Macaca fascicularis: one gene and its partner. The protein of the gene in region 1 purifies or fractionates together with the protein of each later gene. This does not show direct contact. Links are inferred from orthologs where the notes say so. Each region holds a gene or a part of one and is shown in the gene's direction. Other genes may lie near its edges. The genes, in order: RNF41 and MTCL2.

Region 1 (9,831 bases):
ATTAGATGGGTGTGGAGCAAGTCATCAAGTAGTAGTGTCAGGAGGTCACAGGGTGTGTCAGGTTCCCTCCTCACCCTGGCAGGGCCTTGTCTGTTTTCTGGCACTATCATTTTAGGCAAGTCACTTATGGAAAGGTGAGTTGTAGTTGGTGACAGTCTAGTCAGAAGCCACCCATCTACCTCCAGGCTTTACCTTCTGAGAAGCAGAGCAGGCAACCCTCATGATGCCAGGTTCCCGGACACATTTCTAAGGTTAGAAGGCTCCTGCTAGGGATGCTGATTTCCCCACATCATAATTATTTATTGTTTGAATAGGTGAAAAATGAACATAATTCAGAAATCAAAATAGTATAAAAAGGTATACGGTGAGAATTCTCACTTCTGTCCTTATTACTGTCTACCTAATTCCCCCACAGATAACTATTTTTATTAGTTTTTTTGGTATCCTTCCAGTGAGTATTAAGGCAGATACAAGCAAATATGAATAGATGTCTGCATATATATGTATTTGTATATGCATATGTATATATGAATATATCTGTGTTTTTTCACACCTCCTTTTCTTTGTTACACAAAAGGTAGTACATTCTGTATGCTTATGCAGGGGTGGCAGGTTTAGCTAGAATGGTTATGAAGAAGTTGACAGGCCGGGCATGGTGGCTTACACTTGTAATCCTAGCACTTTGGGAGGCTGAGGCAGGTGGGTCACTTGAGGTCAGAAGTTCGAGACAAGCTGGCCAACATGGTGAAATCCCATCTCTACTAAAAATACAAAAAAAATTAGCTGGGTGGGGTGGGAGTAGCCTAAAATCCCGGCTACTTGGAAGGCTGAGGCAGGAGAATCGCTTGAACCCGGGAGGCGGAGGTTGCAGTGACCTAAGATCACTCCACTGCACTCCAGCCTGGGCGATAGGAGCGAGACTGTCAAAAAAAAAAAAAAATGTAATGGGAAACTAAAGTGTTTTGTTTTGTTTTGAGACAGAATCTTGCTCTATCACCCAAGCTGGAGTGCAATGGCGCGATCTTGGCTCACTGCAACTTCCGCCTCCCGGGTTCAAGCAATTCTTGTGCCTCAGCTTCCCGAGTAACTGGGATTACAGGGGCGCACCACCATGTGTGGCTAATTTTTGTAATTTTAGTAGAGATGGGGGTTTCACCATGTTGGCCAGTCTGGTCTCAAACTCCTGACCTCAAGTGATCTGGCTGCCTCAGCTTCCCAAAGTGCTGGGATCACAGGCATGAGCCACTGTGCCCGGCCTTATTTAGCTTTCTTTTTGTTTTGTTTTGTTTTTTTTGAGATGGAGTCTCGCACTTTAGCCCAGGCTGGAGTGCAGTGGCATGATCTTGGCTCACTGCAAGCTCCACCTCCCAGGTTCATGCCATTCTCCTGCCTCAGCCTCCCGAGTAGCTGCGACTACAGGCGCCTGCCACCACGCCTGGCTAATTTTTTGTATTTTTAGTAAAGACGGGGTTTCACTGTGTTAGCCAGGATGGTCTCAATTTCCTGACCTCGTGATCCGCCCGCCTCAGCCTTCCAAAGTGCTGGGATTACAGGCGTGAGCCGCCACGCCTGGCCTAGCTTTCTGACGTTGAATTTTTGCCAGTAAATATGTTCTCCTGCTCTCTAAATCTATCATCTGAATTATCCTTCAAGACCATATCAAATTTGGTCCTCTTCATAAATACCTGCCGTGATTGAGCTAGCCTGAAAAGACTTCACCCTCCTCTGGACATTTTTGGCAATTATTGTGTGTGCAATCCAGATGGCAATTAATAATTGGCTGCCTTGTGTCATCTGTCCTATTGTCCTGGAATATCATTTATATCTCTTATTGTTATATAACATTTTACTTGTTTGTCTTGTTTCACAACTCATTTTTAATCTTGAGCACAGGGAACATAGATATATATTTTTTGAAACAGGTCCTGGCTCTGTCACCCAGGCTGGAGTGCAGTGGTGCAGTCTTGGTTCACTGCAACCTCCGCCTCCTGGGCTCAAGCCACCCTCCGTCCTCCCACCTCAGCCTTCTGGCTAGCTGGGACTATAGGCACGTGCCACCATGCCCAGCTAATTTTTTTTTTTTTTTTTTGAGATGGAGTCTTATTCTTTTGCCCAGGCTGGAGTGCAGTGGTGCAGTCTTGGCTCACTGCAATCTCCACCTCCTGGGTTCAAGTGATTTTTCTGCCTTAGCCTCCTGAGTATCTGTGATTATAGGTGTGCACCACCACCCCTGGCTAATTTTTTTGTATTTTTAGTAGAGACAGGGTTTCACCATGTTGGTCAGGCTGGTCTTGAACTCCTGACCTCGTGGTCCGCCTGCCTTGGCCTCCCAAAGTGCTGGGATTACAGGCATGAGCCACTGCGCCTGGCCTACACCCGGCTAATTTTTGTAACTTTTGTAGAGATGGGGTTTTGTCATGTTGTCTGGGATGGTCTCAAACTCCTGAGGTCAAACAGTGTGCCTACCTTAGCCTCCCAAAGTGCTGGGATTATAGGCATGAGCCACCGTGCCCAGCAGGAAACATATCTTAAGCCTGTCCCCTACAATGCCTTGCCCATAGTAGATCTATACTTTGCTTGACCCAACGGACCTCTTGCGGTAGAAGCTGCTCAAAGGCATGATTGGCTTTGTAGAGTTATCATATCCAGGCTCTTAGGTCCTGCTAATTCCCTTATGCCCCTTTTGCCTTGTTCTCCTAGGCACCTCATTGTGAACATGCTTTCTGCAACGCCTGCATCACCCAGTGGTTCTCTCAGCAACAGACATGTCCAGTGGACCGTAGTGTTGTGACGGTCGCCCATCTGCGCCCGGTACCTCGGATCATGCGGAACATGCTGTCAAAGCTGCAGATTGCCTGTGACAACGCTGTGTTTGGCTGTAGTGCCGTTGTCCGGCTTGACAACCTCATGTCTCACCTCAGCGACTGTGAGCACAACCCGAAACGGCCTGTGACCTGTGAACAGGGCTGTGGGTGAGATCTGTTCCCTTCTTCTGCCCCACATGGATAAGGGCCATCTCATTTATGCCCCTATCGCTGGATGCCCTCCTCACTAGCTGAGGAGGTCTCTTAGGCATGTTGGCAAGGAGTATTCTTAGCCTCCTTGGCTCCCTGCTCTAAGATCTGACTTTCTTGCTGCTTTTCCAACTATAATAATTTTGCTCTTGCTTTAACAAAAGAAGGGGCACAGCAATTCAGTAAATTTGTATAATAACACTAAAGGTTGATTGACTCTGTTCTTCCCTTTCAGTCCAATACTACTTTCTGTTTGTCAGTTTGACTGCTGTAATTGCCAGCCTTCTCATATTTCCTCTGACCCTATTTTTTCTTTCTGTGAGTTATGAAATATTTGACTAAATGTTGATAGCTGAGGGGTGTGTTAGCTCACACCTGTAATCCTAGCACTTTGGGAGGCCAAAGTGGGCAGGTCACTTCAGGCCAGGAGTTCAAGACTAACCTGGCCAACATGGCAAAACCTAGTCTCTATTAAAAATATAAAAATTGCCGGGCGCGGTGGCTCACGCCTGTAATCCCAGCACTTTGGGAGGCCGAGGCGGGCGGATCACAAGGTCAGGAGATCGAGACCACGGTGAAACCCCGTCTCTACTAAAAATACAAAAAATTAGCCGGGCGCGGTGGCGGGCGCCTGTAGTCCCAGCTACTCAGGAGGCTGAGGCAGGAGAATGGCATGAACCCGGGAGGCGGAGCTTGCAGTGAGCCGAGATCGCGCCACTGCACTCCAGCCTGGGCAACAGAGCGAGACTCTGTCTCAAAAAATAAATAAATAAATAAATAAAAATAAAAATACAAAAATTAGCCAGGTGTGGGGCCGGGTGTGGTGGCTCACGCCTGTAATCCCAGCACTTTGGGAGGCCAAGGCAGGCAGATCATGAGGTCAGGAGATTGAGACCATCCTGGCTAACACGGTGAAACCCCATCTCTACAAAAATACAAAAAATTAGCCAGGTGTGGTGGCAGGCGCCTGTAGGGGAAAGCTACTTGGGAGACTGAGGCAGGAGAATGGCGTGAACCAGGGAGGAGGAGCTTGCAGTGAGCCGAGATCACGCCACTGCACTGTAGCCTAAGCAACAGAGCAAGACTCTGTCTCAAAAAAAAAAAAAAAAATTAGCCAGGTGTGGTGGTGCATGCCTGTAATCCCAGCTACTTGGGAGGCTGAGGCATGAGAATCGCTTAAAACCAGGAGGTAGAGGTTGCAGTGAGCTGAGATCACACCATTGCACTCCAGCCTGGGCTGGACTCTGTTCCCCCTAACTAACTAACTAAGAAATAAAAAGAATGTTGATAGCTGGGGCTGTGAATATAGGGCTTCTCTGAAGCAATAAGTGCACAGGCAGAATCTGTAGGAGGAAAAGGAGAGCTGTGCAGTAGATAAAAACAGTGTGTCAAAATAAATAAATAGTCCCAGTGCGGTGGCTCACGCCTATAATCCCAGCACTTGGGAGGCTGAGGCGGGTGGATCACCTGAGGTCAGGAGTTCAAGACCAGTGTAGCCAACATGGTGAAACCCTGTCTCTACTAAAAATACAAAAATTAGCCAGGCGTCATGGCGGGCACCTGTAATCCCAGCTGCTCAGGAGGCTGAGGCACAAGAATTGCTTGAACCCCATGAGGCAGAGGTTGCAGTGAGCCAAGACTGTGCCATTACACTCCAACCTGGGCAACAAGAGTGAAACCTGGTCTCAAAAAAAAAAAAGTAAAATAAGAGGCCAGGCACAGTGGCTCACACCTGTAATCCCAGCACTTTGGGAGGCCAAGGCAGTGCAGATCACATGAGGCCAAGAGTTTGAGACCAGCCTGGCTAACATGGGGAAACCCGTTTCTACTAAAAATACAAAAAGTTAGCTGGGCATGGTGGCGCACGCCTGTAATCCCAGCTACCCGGGAGGCTAAGGCAGGAGAAATCGCTTGAACCTGGGAGGCAGAGGTTGTGCTGAGCTGAGATCGTGCCATTGCACTCCAGTTTGCGCAACAAGAGCGAAACTCCATGTCAAAAAAAAAAAAAAGATAAAAAATAAAATAAGATAAAATAAATATAAAAAGTAGATAAAACACTGTGTCTTGATTGGGGAAAGAAATTTAAGGAAAATAGACAGCAAAGGGGCAAGTAGGAAGCTTGGAAGAAGAAAGTGAAGGGAATGAATGAGGGAGGCCTGAAATGAATGTTAGAAATTTTGGGTAGGACAAAATCTACTCAGCAGTTATCTGCCACAGAATAGGCCATTTGCATACATGTCCTGGTGATCACCCCTGTTCTGCTCTTTCCCCACCCTGGTCTGCAGCCTGGAGATGCCCAAAGATGAGCTGCCCAACCATAACTGCATTAAGCACCTGCGCTCAGTGGTACAGCAGCAGCAGACACGCATCGCAGAGCTGGAGAAGACGTCAGCTGAACACAAACACCAGCTGGCGGAGCAGGTAGGCCCCAAGACACGGGGGAGAACATATCCCTCATATGCAGATAACTGCCTGCCTGTGGGTAATAAAACCAGTTGTGAACACATAGACCTGTGCTTACACTTGTGAGTTTGGATGAGTGGCTATTCTGCCTGTGGCTTAGCAGGGAATCAGATTGGAGCTCTCCTTGACTTTCCTTCATCCCATTCATAGCATTCATTCACCTAACAGTTACCAGATGCCTCCTCTGTGAAGGCACATTTTGTAAGTACTAAGGAGGCAGCTGTGAGTGAGACAGTCCTATCCCTGTCTTCCTGAAGCTTACAAACTGGTTGTTCTTCAGATCTCTCAGTTGTCCTCATTCTCGGATAAACTTTTGTCTTTTTTCTGCTGTCTGCCTTAACCATTATTCCTGTTCTTCTTCTCCACAACAGAAGCGAGACATCCAGCTGCTAAAGGCATACATGCGTGCAATCCGCAGTGTCAACCCCAACCTTCAGAACCTGGAGGAGACAATTGAATACAACGAGATCCTAGAGTGAGTGTCACTCAGGACATGGAGTGATTCCACGTCCTGACAGTAAGGCCTGAAAGGCGCTAAGAGCAGGAGAGTAGCAGAAGGAGGGCATTGGAGAGCTGGGCTGGGGGGTCACTGCTTCTCAGATATTGGCATTAAGGACAGGGGCCGAGGAGAAGAGGATAACCCTTAGCTCCACTACAGGATGTCTTACGCGTTTGGGTGGATGGAAGGGAAAGCCTACCCAAGGATGCACTTTATCCAGAATTAAGTGAGTACCCATGTACAAAGCCCTGTATTAAAGGCTGTGGAGTGCTAGGAGGGCCAAAAAGAAATAGAAGATAGGCCGGGCGTGGTGGCTCACACCTGTAATCCCAGCACTTTGGGAGGCTGAGGCGGGTAGATCACGAGGTCAGGAGATCGAGACCATCCTGGCTAACACAGTGAAACCCCGTCTCTACTGAAAAAAAAAACAAAAAAATTAGCCGGGCGTGGTGATGGGCGCCTGCAGTCCCAGCTACTCCGGAGGCTGAGGCAGGAGAATGGCGTGAACCCGGGAGGCGGAGCTTGCAGTGAGCCGAGATCGCGCCACTGCACTCCAGCCTGGGCAACAGAGTGAGACTCCATCTCAAAAAAAAAAAAAAGAAATAGAAGATATTATCCCTGTCTTCAGGTAGCTTACAACCCAGAGAAGAGGAGGCAGAGTGCAAGTCCAGGAAAGTGATCTCTAAAATGCAGCAAAAACAAGTGAAGTATACAAGCGAAGTCTAAGATCTTTTTCAGTTCTGGAGTCCTATACAGTTCATAGACTAAACTGTAAGTGTGAATCAATATATATAGGGCAAATAGTGCTGAGTGGGACATAGTATAGAGGAATAATTGTTTTATTCACTAAACATAGAGCACTAACTGTGTTAGGTGCTGTATGTGCTAAGTATTGGAATTTCAAAGAAAAGTAACAGGGACAGAGTGTAGACTCGTGGAATTTAATCTGGTGAGTAACGTTTGGTGACTCAGTTGGGACCAACTGGGGAAAATTCGGGGTTTCTGAGCCAATCATGGAAGGAAAGAAGGAAGAATAGGTGAGCTGAGTGCAGAGTGGGTAGTTATTTCTATTAGCAGAAAAAGCCAATACAGAGAAAGGAGATGATCTGGAATGACCATCTTTAACCACCTCCACACAGGTGGGTGAACTCCCTTCAGCCAGCAAGAGTGACCCGCTGGGGAGGGATGATCTCGACTCCTGATGCCGTGCTCCAGGCTGTAATCAAGCGCTCCCTGGTGGAGAGTGGCTGTCCTGCTTCTATTGTCAACGAGCTGATTGAAAATGCCCATGAGCGTAGCTGGCCCCAGGGTCTGGCCACACTAGAGACTAGACAGATGAACCGACGCTACTATGAGAACTACGTGGCCAAGCGCATCCCTGGCAAGCAGGCTGTTGTCGTGATGGCCTGTGAGAACCAACATATGGGTGATGACATGGTGCAGGAGCCAGGCCTTGTCATGATATTTGCTCATGGCGTGGAAGAGATATAGGAGAACCCGACCAGCTATCAGGAAGAGATGGAAATCAGAAAATCCCATCACTCCAGCAGCTGGGACCTGAGTCCTCTCCACCATCCTTAATACTGTGGCTTATACCTGAGCCACACATCTCACTGCCCTTCTGGCACTGAAGGGCCCTGGGGTAGTTTGCTCAGCCTTTCAGGTGGGAAACCCAGATTTCCTCCCTTTGCCATATTCCCCTAAAATGTCTATAAATTGTCAGTCTGAGTGGGAAAGCCCCCACCTCCATCCATTTTCCTGCTTAGGGTTCCTGGTTCCAGTTATTTTCAGAAAGCACAAAGAGATTCAATTTCCCTGGAGTGTCAGGACAGAGTAAGGAATCTCTAGTCGTCCCTCTCCTCCAAAACCAGGGAATCAGAGCAGGCAGGCCTGTTGACTCTAAGCAGCAGACATCCTGAAGAAATGGTAAGGGTGGAGCCAAATCTCTAGAAATAAGTAGTGAGGCCAGTAATTGGCCATCACGGATGGCCCTTAGGGGAAGACTGGACCTCTGTGCCAAGCAGTATCCCTGTTCAGTCCACCTTAAAGGTGCAGGCACCCACTGGGTCTACCAGTATGCAGGTTGGGATACTGAAAATTTCCAGATGAGCTCTTCTTTCCTATAAGTTTTCATAATTAGGGAATGCCAGGGTTTAGGGTAGGGGTTAGTCTGTTGGGGTTGATGTGTTCAGCAAGAAGCTACTCCTAGCTTTTGCTAAAATATGGTCAGCACTGCCTCTTGTGGCACAGGCCATAATTGTTCCATAGAGCCCTCTCTAGCCCTGTGACTGTAGTTAGTTACTTTGATAATTTTCTTTGGCCATTGTTTATATTTCACAAACTCCACCTACTTCCCCTCCCCTTCCCCCTTTTTTTTTAAGAATGGCCTGATCATGGCTATCTCAGCCACATTGTTGGCAATTTAATTTATTTACCTTTTTTTTTTTTTTTTTTAAAGAAAGGAAAAAAGAAAAAAAATCAAACTTGAAACTTTTGATGTTCCTATTGTGGGGATTTTGGATAGGGTGGGACAGGGATGGGGGTGTGTTTTATATTTTTTCCTTTTCAGCACAACCTTTGGCTTTAATATAGGAAGAGCCAAGGGAGTCCTCGGCTGAACTTACAATATCTGCCCCAAACCTCTGTAACCCCAACTGAAATGAGGAGCTTCCTCTATTCCTGTGAAGGATATGACAGTCCAGCATCGATGCCTGTGCCCTCTGGAAAAATTTCCTCCTAGCCCTTCCAGGGCCTCATCATAAAACTCTGGATTTAGAGTATTCATTTTGAAGGCAACCCCCCGCTTCCCCAAGTTTTCTTGGAGCTGTATAGCTGGGTTCTAAGCTTCACCATGCAAATCAGAAATTTTATCTCTAAGTACAGGCTGTGCTGTGTCTCACCCACACCCCCCGGGGACTTCAGTTCCATTTCAGGTTACCTGGGGCATACCTTGATCCCTAGAGTGACTGGCAGAGTAAGTAAGAGAAGGGGAGGGATAGTAGGTGTGATAATTTTAATATGGAGGTGGGAGTGTGGTTGGAGATAGAAAGTCTCCTCCCCACCATGTGATAGCTTCCTCTCAGAGTTTTATTCCAGGCTAGCTTGCTGCAGGTCTGGGTAGTTGGATCATGGCTCCACTGGGATTGGGGTGGAGGGATACAGCTTGAGGGGAGTAGGGTTCCAGCTCCGGGACATTGTGCTCAGGAATTTGAAAACGCTGCTATACTTATTCTGGTTACTACATTTCTTCCAATCCCCTTTCCCCTACCTGCCTTACCAAGGCTTATACTGTCCTGTCCTTACCCTCAGATGGAGCCAGGAAGCTCAGTGAAAGGCTTCCCTACCCTTTGCACTAGTGTCTCTGCGGGTTGCTGGTTGTGTTGTATGTGCTGTTCCATGGTGTTGACTGCACTAATAATAAACCTTTTACTCAACTCTCTAAATTCTTCAACATTACTCCCTTTCCTGGGAAGGTTTCCCCTCTGCTTTTGCCTTTCTCTCACCTTAATTCCCCTTCTTCCTTACTTTGTTACCTACCCTTATCTTAGCGCTAACTTCTCTTTCAGGAGGATGTCTGGGAGTAGTGTGCACTTCGCAGCTGCTTTCCCATGTACCCTCCTGCATTCTTCCCTCCTATCTCCTGTTCTGTAGCAGCCAAAGGTGTCTCTCTAGTTATCTGAACTGTGTGCTTCCCAGGGTCTGCCTTCATCCTAAATTCCATGTCTTCCCTGAGTGGTCCTGAGTTTTTGGGATAATTTCTACAGAAAATATGTATATATTGTTTTCCTTTGTCCCACAAGCAACTTTGCTTTAGAATCTAGAATTCCTTTGCAGGCAGAGAAGCCTCCACCCTCC
Region 2 (11,272 bases), on another chromosome or scaffold:
CCAGTTACTTGGGAGGCTGAGGCAGGAGAATTACTTGAACCTGGGAGGCGGAGGTTGCAGTGAACTGAGATGGTGCCACTGCACTCCAGCCTGAGTGGCAAAGCGAGACTGCATCTAAAAAAAAAAAAAAATTCGCTAGGCATGGTGGTGGGCGCCTGTAATCCCAGCTACTCGGGAGGCTGAGGCAGGAGAATCACTTGAGCTCGGGAGGCGGAGGTTGCAGTGAGCTGAGATCGTGCAACTGCACTCCAGCCTGGGCGACAGAGTGAGACTCTGTCTCAAACAAACAAACAAAGCAGCAGCTGGGCACTGTGGCTCACACCTGTAATCCCAGCACTTTGGGAGGCCAAGGCGGGCGGATCTTGAGGTTAGGAGTTCGAGACCAGCCTGGCCATCATAGTCAAATTCTGTCTCTACTAAAAATACAAAAAAATTATCCAGGTGTGGTGGTGGGTGCCTGTAATCCCAGCTATTCGGGAGGCTGAGACAGGAGAATAGCTTGAACCTGGGAGGTGGAGGTTGCAGTGAGCCAAGATCACACCACGGCACTCCAGCCTGAGCAACACTCCGTCTCAAAAAAAAAAAAAAAAAAGCAAGGCCCTAACTATTCAGTGACTCCTTGAATAACTCAGTTTAGGCCAGGCACGGTGGCTCGGGGCTGTAATCCCAGCACTTTGGGAGGCAGAGGCAGGCGGATCACAACGTCAGGAGATCAAGACCATCCTGGCTAACACGGTGAAATCCCGTCTCTAAATTGGCCGGACGTGGTGGCGGGCACCTGTAATCCCAGCTACTTGGGAGGCTGAGGCAGGAGAATGGCGTGAACCTGGGAGGCAGAGTTTACAGTGAGCCAAGATTGCACCACTGTACTCTAGCGTGGGCGACAGAGCGAGACTCTGTCTCAAAAAAAAAAAAAAGAATAATTCAGTTTAAAGGCTGCCTCCTAGCTGGGTGCAGTGGCTCACACCTGTAATCCCAGCACTTTGGGAGGCCAAGGTGGGCTGATCACGAGGTCAGGATATCCAGACCATCCTGACCAACATGGTGAAACCCCATCTCTACTAAAAATACAAAAATTAGCTGGGCGTGGCGGCTCATGCCTGTAATCCCAGCTACTAGGGAGGCTGAGGCAGGAGAATCGCTTGAACCCAGGAGGCAGAGGTTGCAGTGAGCTGAGATTGCGCCACTGCACTCCAGCCTGGCAACAGAGCTAGACTCCATCTCAAAAAAAAAAAGGCTGCCTCCTCCAAGAGGCCTTCCTGACTCCCCTGTTTAAAGAGGTTTCCTGACCAGTTCCTCTAATTCTCCCATAGCCAGAGTTGCTTGTTTCTTTCATTTGTATAGTGAAAAAAAAAAAAAAAAAGAAAACAAAGAAAACAAAACAACTTTTGTCTAAAAGAAAAAAACACACCTCCTCTTGGAAACTTTCCAGGAGTGAGTCTCCATTCAGTTTTCATCACGTTGGTCAATTTAGCAGCTTGAATGGGAGAAATGAAACCTTTTTTCCACTTGGGTAATCAGCATCTTCACTTCTTATGTTGTATAATTCTTACAATGTAATGCTTCAGTCTTTTTTGAGTAGAGCTTTCTGCAGCACACACTATGTGCCTGCACTGGGCACTTCGCAGCCCAATTGGGTACCACAACAGGCTCTGGAATCAGGCAGTCCTGGGTTCAAGTCAATCCCGGCCCTTCTACTTCTGAGCTGTATAAGTATTGGTCATGCATTCCTGCTACCCAGTGCTACGTAACAAATGACCCCAAAACTTAGTGGCTGAAACAACAATATTTATTTTGCAGTTTGGGCGGGGTTGGTGAAACAGTTCATTTCTGCTCTACTTGTCCACTGGGGTGGCTCCAAGCCTGGGGGCTGAATCATCTACAGGCTCACTCTCTCACATGTCTGGTGGTTAGTGGGGACCAGAGCTGGAGTTGTTGGCTAGATCACCTTCGTGCGGTCTCCACATGAGGCCTGGGCTTCCTCCCATCATGGTGGGTGAGTGGCCAGAGAGAGGGAGAGAGAGAAAGAGAGAGAGAAACAAGCTGGGTGGAATCATGTTGCTTTTTATGACCTAACGTTGGAAGTCACAGATGAACACTTCTGCCATACTCTGTTGGTTGAGGCAGTCACAAGATCTGCTGAGATTCAAGGTGGGGGCACACAGACCGTGCTGCTCAATCGGAGGAGCATCAGTGACACATTGTAAGAAAAGCAACCGGGATGAGATACACCCTTTGGAAAATATTAATCAGCTACAAGAAGTATCTTCACCTTTTGGAGATCCTTTACTGAAATGTGGAGCATAGAGCCCGGCACGCAGAGAGAGGCCATATGTCACACAGCTGCAGGATGTGCTGGCAGCAAGGACGGTCACCCTGTCTACAATGTAGCCAGTTCTGGACTCTCAATAAGTCTCATCTCCTTTGTGGTATCCCTGGTCTGAACTGACCCTGAGTCCAGAGTCCCTACATCAGCCCCACCTAAACCCTCCCCACCAGGGCCCTGTTGTTCTCAAGGCTTCCCTGGGTCTGCAATATAGATTCTTGACTCCCCAAATCCAAAGAACATCACAGCAGGTGGGAGTCACAGGCCCCTTCCTGGCCAGCCATGAGTGTTGGGCCCAGAGAGGATACATGGTAGAGCCAGGACTCAGATCCCCGCCCTAGTAGAGAGATGCAGGCCACTTTAATCTCAGGACCACTGATGTGACCAAGGATGTGTCAGGAGTGGCTGAGCCAGCCTGGTCTGCTATGTCCCTGCATTCACACCACCCAACACCTCCAAGTCCATGTTCTGCATAGTGGGAGAAACTGAAGCATAGAGAGAGGACACGCTTTCCAAGAGCTTCACAGCACGTTTCTGTGCCAGACTAGATGCAGCCTGCTAGAGCCAGGGGCATCTGAGCTGGACGGATCCCGTCATCTGTTGCATTAGACCAGAGCAGCTGGGGACTCTGAGGCCCGGAATGTGGGAAGGCCTGCCCTGGGTCACTAGCCTGCGGCTCCCACATCCTTCTCCAACACTCCTGCCCCCCATGCCGTGCCATGCCACCCTGTTTGTGCTGAGTCTTTTGTGGTCCCCCACACACACTGTGTGCTCCACGAGGTCAGGCACTGACACGCCCACCACTGCGTCCCTCAGTGTACCTGGCGCCTGTGCAAACAGGGTTTGTGGACAGTCAGTGGGGGGTGAGGCGAGTTGGTGTCTTGCCAGGAAGGGTGGGGATGCCCCTGCGGAAGTATTTGCCAAGAGCCTGCTGAGTGCCCGCTCCTCACTTGGCCGCGTGGAGGGCACTTAGCGTTGGGGTGGAGGAGCAGTCACACGCCTGGATCCAGATGGAGTCACGCCTCTGGAGAGAGGGGATGCCCCAGGAGTGTATTCACTGCGTGTGGGGGAGGTGGGACAGAGACAAAGAAGTGGACCTGGTGCCTGCTGTGTCACAGGCAGGTGCAGAGGTGAAGGAAGGGGATTGGGGGAGGAAGAAGGAGAAAATGGGCAGGAGGAAGAAGAGGGGAAAGAGGAGGAAAAGGAAGACTTGGAAAAGGAGGGGGGAAGGAAGGGGAAAGGTGGGAGAAGAAGGAGGAAAATAGAGCAGGGGATAAATGGGAGGGGGAGAAGGGAACAGGAGGAGGAAGAGGCTGCAGAGGGGCAAAAACAGTCCTGCCCTCCTGGTGGCAAGGGGTGTGGGGCGTCTTGAGGCCGAGGGTCCATCTGTGGGGCAAAGGACTCAATCCAGCTCTGCCCTGCGGTGGCTCAGGGATGGGGCACAGCAGCCAGGTGGCGTGGGGGCTGGGGAAGGTGTGAGAGACACGGGAAAATCAACACGGCCAGGAGCCAAGGAGACGCCCAGACGCCCGGGAGGAAAGAAAACACACCCACCAGAGCTCAAGTCCTCCTGCGATGCTCCTGGTGGGGACATGTGGGGTCAGGGCAACCGTCCCAGCCCATGCCAGCCCCCACCGGGGCCAAAACCGCCTTCCAAAGCATCCGCTAGGCTGACATCTCGTAATGGGTCGCCTCCATTTTATTTTTGCATTTATTTATTTATTTATTTTTTTGAGATGGAGTCTAGCTCTGTCATACAGCCTGGAGTGCAATGGCGCGATCTCGGCTCACTGCAACCTCTGCCTCGCAGGTTCAAGCGATTCTCCTGACTCAGCTTCCCGAGTACCTGGGATTACAGGCATCCCCACCACGCCCGGCTAATTTTGTATTTTTAGTAGAGACGGGGTTTCACCATGTTGGTCAGGCTGGTCTCGAACTCCTGACCTCGTGATCCGCCCGCCTCGGCCTCCCAAAGTGCTGGGATTACAGGCATGAGCCACCGCGCCCGGCCACAGGTCGCTTCCATTTTAGCCTTACATAGCCTGAAACCCGGGTCGGGGGGCGCATGGGGAGTAATCTTCGCCGGTCAAGGTGCGCGAGCCAGACATGCACGCAGGGCTCCACGGTCCCTACCCCAGGGGAGGCAAGCTGAGGCAGGGGGAGCCCGAGCGCGCCCGGGAGGTGTGAGCTTTGGGTTCCATCGGCACCGTCTAGACCGTGAGCTTGGCGCGTGCACCCCGGGCTTCAGTTTACGCATCTGTGCGATGGGATCGCTGCTCCGGCGGTGCCGGCTGAGGGGGCGGAGTTCGCGCACGCTCTGCACCGGGCGAGGGGCGAGGCGCGCTGGGTGTGCATGGATACGGGCTCCTGCGAACTGAGGTCCGCGCGGCCTCGGCCCGGGAGTCCCGGCTCCCGCCGCTCTCGCGGGCCCTGCCCGGACGCCGGGCGCAGGGGCGCCTCCGCCGGGTGCGTTCCCCGGGCGGGCAGGGAAGGAGGCGGCGGAGCGGAGGAGGAGGGAGCCCGGGCAGCGGCTGCCCGCGCCCGCCTGACCCTCGAGGGGGTCGCTGTTGCCTCGCAGATCCCTCCCTCGCTCCCTGCTTGCGTCCCTCCCTCGCTCCCTGCTTGCGTCCCTCCCTGCCGCTCTCGCCGCGTCCGCCTTTTGTTCGTGGAACCGCGCGCCCCCGAGCCGAGGCGGCGGGGCGGGGAGCTGGCGGGGCTGCGCGGGGGGCGGGCCGCGCCGGGCGGAGCCGGGGCCCGGGCCGCAGCCGGACTCGGAGCCCGAGGGAGCGATCGGCGTGCGGGCGGCGGGGGCCCGGGCGCGCTCCGGGGGCGCGGCGAGGCCGAGGGGGCGGGCGCCGGGCGGAGCCGCAGCCGGAGCCGGGGCGCCTGGAGGCGGTCGGGCCGCACTCTCCGAGCCCAGAGCAGCGGAGAGACCGCGCGGCGGGGCTTGGGGCGGAGACGCGGTGTCGGGGCCGAGGTGGGCCGAGAGCAGCCGCAGGCCGAGCGGCCGGAGCCGCGCCGGGTCCCTCCCCAGGGACGTCGAGGCCGGGCGGGCCTGGGCCATGCGCGCAGCTCGCTGAGGCCGAGGGAGGCCGCGATGGAGGCGCCGGCGACCGAGCCCCCGGTCCGGGGCTGCGGTCCCCAGCCCGCGCCCGCACCCGCGCCCGCCCCGGAGAGGAAAAAGAGCCACCGCGCGCCGTCGCCGGCCCGGCCCAAAGACGTGGCCGGCTGGTCGCTGGCTAAGGGCCGCCGCGGCCCAGGCCCGGGCGCAGCCGTCGCCTGCAGCGCCGCGTCCTCCGCACGGCCGGACAAGAAGGGGCGCGCAGTGGCGCCCGGGGCACGGGGCGCGGGGGCGCGGGTGGCTGGGGTCCGCACCGGGGTCCGTGCCAAGGGCCGTCCGCGGCCGGGTGCGGGGCCGCGACCGCCACCGCCACCTCCCAGCCTCACGGATAGCAGCTCAGAGGTGTCGGACTGCGCGTCGGAGGAAGCGCGCCTGCTGGGCCTGGAGCTGGCGCTGAGCAGCGACGCCGAGTCCGCGGCCGGAGGCCCTGCGGGGGTCCGCACAGGGCAGCCGGCCCAGCCGGCGCCTTCGGCGCAGCAGCCCCCGCGGCCGCCCGCCTCCCCGGACGAGCCGTCGGTGGCTGCGTCGTCGGTGGGCAGCAGCCGCCTGCCGCTCAGCGCCTCGCTCGCCTTCTCCGACCTCACCGAGGAGATGCTGGACTGCGGGCCCGGCGGTTTGGTGCGGGAGCTGGAGGAGCTGCGCTCGGAGAACGACTATCTCAAGGTGGGGGCGCCCGGGGGAAAGGGGGACCGCGGGGGGCACCGGCTGTCACAGTCCCGCGGGCCTGAGGCACCAGCCGGCCCTCCTTCCCACTGAAGAATCCGGAGAAAGAGGCCCAAGCCCTGGGGACCACTCTGAGGTGGATCTGGGGCTCCCTCATTCCCCACCGCCTCAACTTTATTTGGGAAGCATGCTCCTGAAAAAGACCTTGGAACTGGCCACAGGGCCCTAACCTGGGAGCGGGGACTTGAGAAAACAGCTTTGGAGCGTTCTGGGGGGCGTTGCTGGGCTGGGGGTGGGTAGGCAGGGAAGGGATGGATCTCTGCCTTCAGCTGCCCAGAACCTCCACGCCCAGGCTCTCCTTCCTGGGACAAGATTGGTGGGCACCACCGCCAGGGAAGCCTGTGGCCATCCCCTGCCCAGGAGAGGCCTGAATGCCACCCTGAGTCGTTACCCAGGGCTTTCCCGGGCGCAGGCCTGTCTCTGCCTGCCTTTCTGGGCGGGTCCAGTTTGAAAGCATGACATCTGGGAACATCCCCTTGGCTGGAGTCCACTTCCGCCCAGCCTAACGGTCCCACAGCCTGGAGGATGATGTCGTGGGAGAACCGGTTCAGAGGCAGCTTCCTAAATCCCAGGGCTGTGTTTTGCCCTCCCTGGGGCAGACCTTGTGCACACAGCAGCTCCACTGGCCCCTCGTGGCCAGTGCCTTTCCATGTTCCCAGTGAGAGGAGGGTAGCTGCCCACCTGGAAGGGGCCTTCCCTGTGGCCATGTGGGGACCCCAGGGCTTCCCCCGGACAGCAGGCTTTGCCTTTGCTTTTTCAGTGGATGTGAGCACCTACTGGGTGCCGGCCAGGCTCCATCTGCGCGCTTCCTGGTGCTGTGGCAACTTTAGGGACAGCCCAGCTTGCACGTGTTGACCTCTCCCTGGGAGGCTAGAAGCTTCCTGAGCTCTCCTGCCACTGGCTGGGCACGGTTTTGGAGGAGGCTGAAATGTTGCCGACTCTTGACAGTGAATGGCCTGGCACAACACCCAGAGTGCCCCTGGCCGTGGCGCTCACAGCATGCTGCTGATTTATGTCTGCCCTGCAGCACTTAGCTTTTAACTTTTCCTTGTGGCTATTCTGGCCAAATGGGCTTCTCCCTCATTAGAGTGTTGGTGTCTTGCTCAACTGTGTCTCTGTCTCCCCATTTTCCCCGGGATCTGCTCTCCAGCTTGAGTTCTGTAAATGCTTGTAGTGTGGAAGGACAAGGTCTGTCTGAATCAAGAGACACCGTTCCCCAAGCCAGGCCTCAGTCTCCTCATCTGTTAAATGGGAGGATGTCTTCCCAAGGGCCTGGTTCGGTGTTGGCAACTGGGAGTTCAGTCGGCTCTTAGAGTCTTCAGAAGCTGGTGGTAAGGAGAGGGCAAGTGGAAGGTGAGGAGGAAGAGGGAGGCGACCAGCCAGGACAAGGGTCTTTTGCTCCTGCCCTCTTGGTGCTCTGAGCTGCTTCCAGTGAGTGCTGCCTGAATTGGCGTTAACCGAAACTCTGAGCTCCTCACCCCTGCCTCCCAGTTCCTGCTACTCACTCTGGTGAGGGGGGGATGGGTTGCAGAGCTTTGCTTCAGGGCTCCTAGGCACCCATCCCCATGGGCTCCTCTCCGTCCCAGGAAGTCATCAGGCTCCGACCCAAAGTCCATTTGAGGCACCCATGACTGTTTAAAGGGGAAAACAATCCCAGGAGGCTGGGGGTTGAGCCCGGGATCTCACAGGGGCCAGGGCCCAGCTGGGGACATCCCACATCTGGGCCAGCATGGAGCCATAATTTCCACTGTTCATTCAGTGGCTCAGGCTTCATGCTGCTGTTGGGTCTGGGGTCTGTCGCTTCCTGACTGCCTGATCTTTGGCAAGTTACTTAACAGCCCTGGACCTTAGATTTCTCATTTGTAAAAATGGGACAGTAACAAACGCTTTCCAACCTCAAGGGTTAAATGAGCTGATGCCTGCAAACGCCATTAGAGCACCTGGTATGTAGTAAGCCTCCGATCACTGCTCTTGTCAGTGGCATGGGACACGTTTCCATGTGCACCCAGCCTGTTCTCTTGTGGGTTCTGTGAGGGCAGAGTAGATCCTCTTCATCGCCTAAGGCAGGCTGGGCTCTTCCTCCCGGCCCCTCCTTGGTTCATTCGCCCGCTGTTTATTTAGAACCTGCTGTGTGCCAGCACAGATCTGGGATACAGCCGTGGACGAGAGAGGGTGAGGTGTCTGTTTTCGTAGAGCTTTGGGGGAGACCGGAATTAAACAATAGTCATACAAGAAATCACAACACAGATCATAATGAGGGTGAAGGGGACAGTTTGCCAGGAGCACACAAAGGTTGGGGCTGAGGTAAGAAGATTTCAGGCTGAGGGAAATTGGAAAGAGCTTGTTGAGTTCAAGAACAGCGCTGAGGCCAGAGAGGGGAAGGAGTGTGGGTGAGAGAGGAGAGCAAGGCCAGCCCATGCCACTTCTCACTGTGTATACATTTGGGTTAGCCCCTTAACTTGTCTGGATATCTGTGTATCCCAGCCGCCAGCCTCACAGAGGCAGGGTCAAAATCCAGAGATTGAACGTGGACCACAGAGGGGTTATTACTGGAGGTGTTGTTTTGTTTATTCCACAGATGGGAAAACTGTGGCCAGAGTGGGGAAGAGACTTGCTCCGGGTCCCAGAGCCGGGAATCTAGGCTGCCAGGGCTTGGAGTAAGCGTGTGTTAGACTCTTTTTTTTTTTGAGACGGAATTTCACTCTTGTTGCCCAGGCTAGAGTGCAATGGTGCACTCTCGGCTCACAGCAACCTCCGCCTCCTGGGTTTAAGCCTTTCTCCTGCCTCAGCCTCCGGAGTAGCTGGGATTACAGGCACGTGCCACCACGCCTGGCTAATTTTGTATTTTTAGTAGAGATGGGGTTTCTCCATGTTGGTCAGGCTGGTCTTGAACTCTGGACCTCAGGTGATCTACCTGCCTCGGCCTCCCAAAGTGCTGCGATTACAGGCGTGAGCCACCGCGCCCGGCAGCATGTGTTAGACTTGTTTTTTTTTTTTTTTGAGACGGAGTCTCTGTCGCCCAGGCTGGAGTGCAGTGGCCGGATCGCCGCTCACCGCAAGCTCCGCCTCCCGGGTTTACACCATTCTCCGGCCTCACCCTCCCGAGTAGCTGGGACTACAGGCGCCCGCCACCTTGCCCGGCTAGTTTTTTGTATTTTTCAGTAGAGACGGGGTTTCACCGTGTTAGCCAGGATGGTCTCGATCTCCTGACCTCGTGATCCGCCCGTCTCGGCCTCCCAAAGTGCTGGGATTACAGGCTTGTTAGACTCGATGTGTTTTCTGCCTTTCTGGACTACTTTGCCTCTAAGATGCGGAAACTGAGTACAAGGGAAAGGACTCCAAATCCCCAGAATGTCCCCTGCAGGAGCAGAGTTGAAGGAGGTCCCACCACGTCTGGTGGATGGCCCTGCTCAGGCTTACCTCCCCCTTGTAGGGGTCACTGGGAACTGTCTATTGGGAAGGACTCTTGGGTGATCTCCAGTCTGGTGTGGCCTGCTCTGGGGCCCAAGTGAGGAAAGCATAAATTGGGCAGCTGTCTCCCAGTGAGAAGATAGAAGGAGCTTCTACAGAGAAGGTAGTGAGCTTACTGTCACTTTAATTATTCAGAAAGAGGCCAGATGACCTTTCATGCTTGGATAAAGACAGAGGGTTTGTGGAATGATTGCTTGAGGAGGGTTCAGAGGGAGATTGATGTGGTGGCTGCAGCTGAGCTGCCTGACCTTGGGTCCCTTCTAGCCAAGGAAGTCTGAAGGTTATTAACTACTGAGGTTCCAGGATGCTAAGATGCAGCTTTAGCTGCAGAGCAGACACGTCACCTGTGACCTTCAAAGACCCGGTGATCTGAGGTCTTCCAGCCTTTCATCACCACTAACCGTTAAGCATGTACCATGTGACCAGGACATGTAGGAACCCACTGGGTGTGGATGGAGGAGTCTGAGAGTTGGAGCCTGAAGACCTGACTTTGAAACCTGACTCTCCCATTTACTGTGTGGCCATGGGCAAGTTACCTGGCTTCTCTGAGCTGCTTTTTTTCTCATCTATATAATAAAGGTGATGGGGCCTGGCGCGGTGACTCATGCCTGTAATGCCAGCATTTTGGGAGGCCGAGGCGAGCGGATCATCTGAGGTCAGGAGCTCAAAACCAGGCTGGCCAACATGGTGAAACCCCATCTCTACTAAAAATACAACAATTACCCAGGCGTGGTGGCACGCGCCTGTAATCCCAGCTACTCAGGAGGCTGAGGCAGGAGAATCACTTGACCGTGGGAGGCGGAGGTTGCAGTGAGCTGAGATCGCGCCACTGCACTGTAGCCTGGGAAACAGAGTGAAACTCTGTCTTAAAAAAAAAAATAAGTAAAGGTGATGGAACCTGCCCGGACAATCTCATATGATTGTCATCAGGAATCAGGGAAGTATGAATAGACAAGAAAACATTTTGCTAGCAGTGAAATCCCAAGTCACCTGAGGAATTGTTGTTATTCATAGCCAATGGGCAGACAGGAGGTCTGTGTCTGCATTCTTGGAGGAACTGGGAGAATGCAGGAGGGTGGATTTCCTTAGTTTTAGAATGTTGATACATCAGTAGCTGTCCCAAGGAGGATGGGAAGGTGTGATCACCTTCCCTGCCGTGTGTGTGGGCTCCCTCCTGGGTGATTCTAGATGTGAGTGTTTGAAGTGCAGCCAGTCTAGGTGTCAGCTCAGAAGGGCCTGGAGGAAGCACCTAATCCATCCCCGCTTGCCATTTTACAGATCAGTAAATGGAGGCTCTAAGTTACATAACCAGGATTCCAACCAGGTTGGTCTAACTCTGGGCCTGTTCTTTCTGCAGTGTGACCAGAGCAGTGAGCTTTTGGTTGCTAACTAGCGTGTCTAGGCTGGGACACAGGTTGGTGAGAGGAATCCTGTCATGGACCAGGCTCTAGGCTAAGGCATGCTGGGGGCCCGGAGCCTGGGGGAGGTGGGGGTTAGTGGAGGACGTTTGTGTGTGCACACGTGTGAGATTGTTCCTTCTTCTGTAACATGGGGGACAAGCATGCCCACCCGGGGCCGTGAGGACCCTTTTCAGTGTGAGGATGCAGATAGAGTGCACAGTGAATGTTAGT

What was found.
Region 2: the proteins of RNF41 (region 1) and MTCL2 purify together in Homo sapiens (affinity purification with mass spectrometry; 3 studies listed by BioGRID and IntAct, with this or other methods). This does not show direct contact. The link is inferred for Macaca fascicularis from reciprocal best matches to the Homo sapiens genes RNF41 and MTCL2.

What each region holds. Positions count from the first base shown.
Region 1 is NC_088385.1:62,991,939-63,001,769, reverse strand, and holds the end of RNF41 (E3 ubiquitin-protein ligase NRDP1), read left to right. Parts: intron 1-2,700; coding exon 2,701-2,972; intron 2,973-5,299; coding exon 5,300-5,435; intron 5,436-5,848; coding exon 5,849-5,952; intron 5,953-7,115; coding exon 7,116-7,467; 3' UTR 7,468-9,419; downstream 9,420-9,831. UniProt on the Homo sapiens protein: Acts as E3 ubiquitin-protein ligase and regulates the degradation of target proteins. Polyubiquitinates MYD88. Negatively regulates MYD88-dependent production of pro-inflammatory cytokines.
Region 2 is NC_088384.1:92,977,257-92,988,528, reverse strand, and holds the start of MTCL2 (microtubule cross-linking factor 2), read left to right. Parts: upstream 1-5,229; 5' UTR 5,230-5,423; coding exon 5,424-6,110; intron 6,111-11,272. UniProt on the Homo sapiens protein: Microtubule-associated factor that enables integration of the centrosomal and Golgi-associated microtubules on the Golgi membrane, supporting directional migration. Preferentially acts on the perinuclear microtubules accumulated around the Golgi.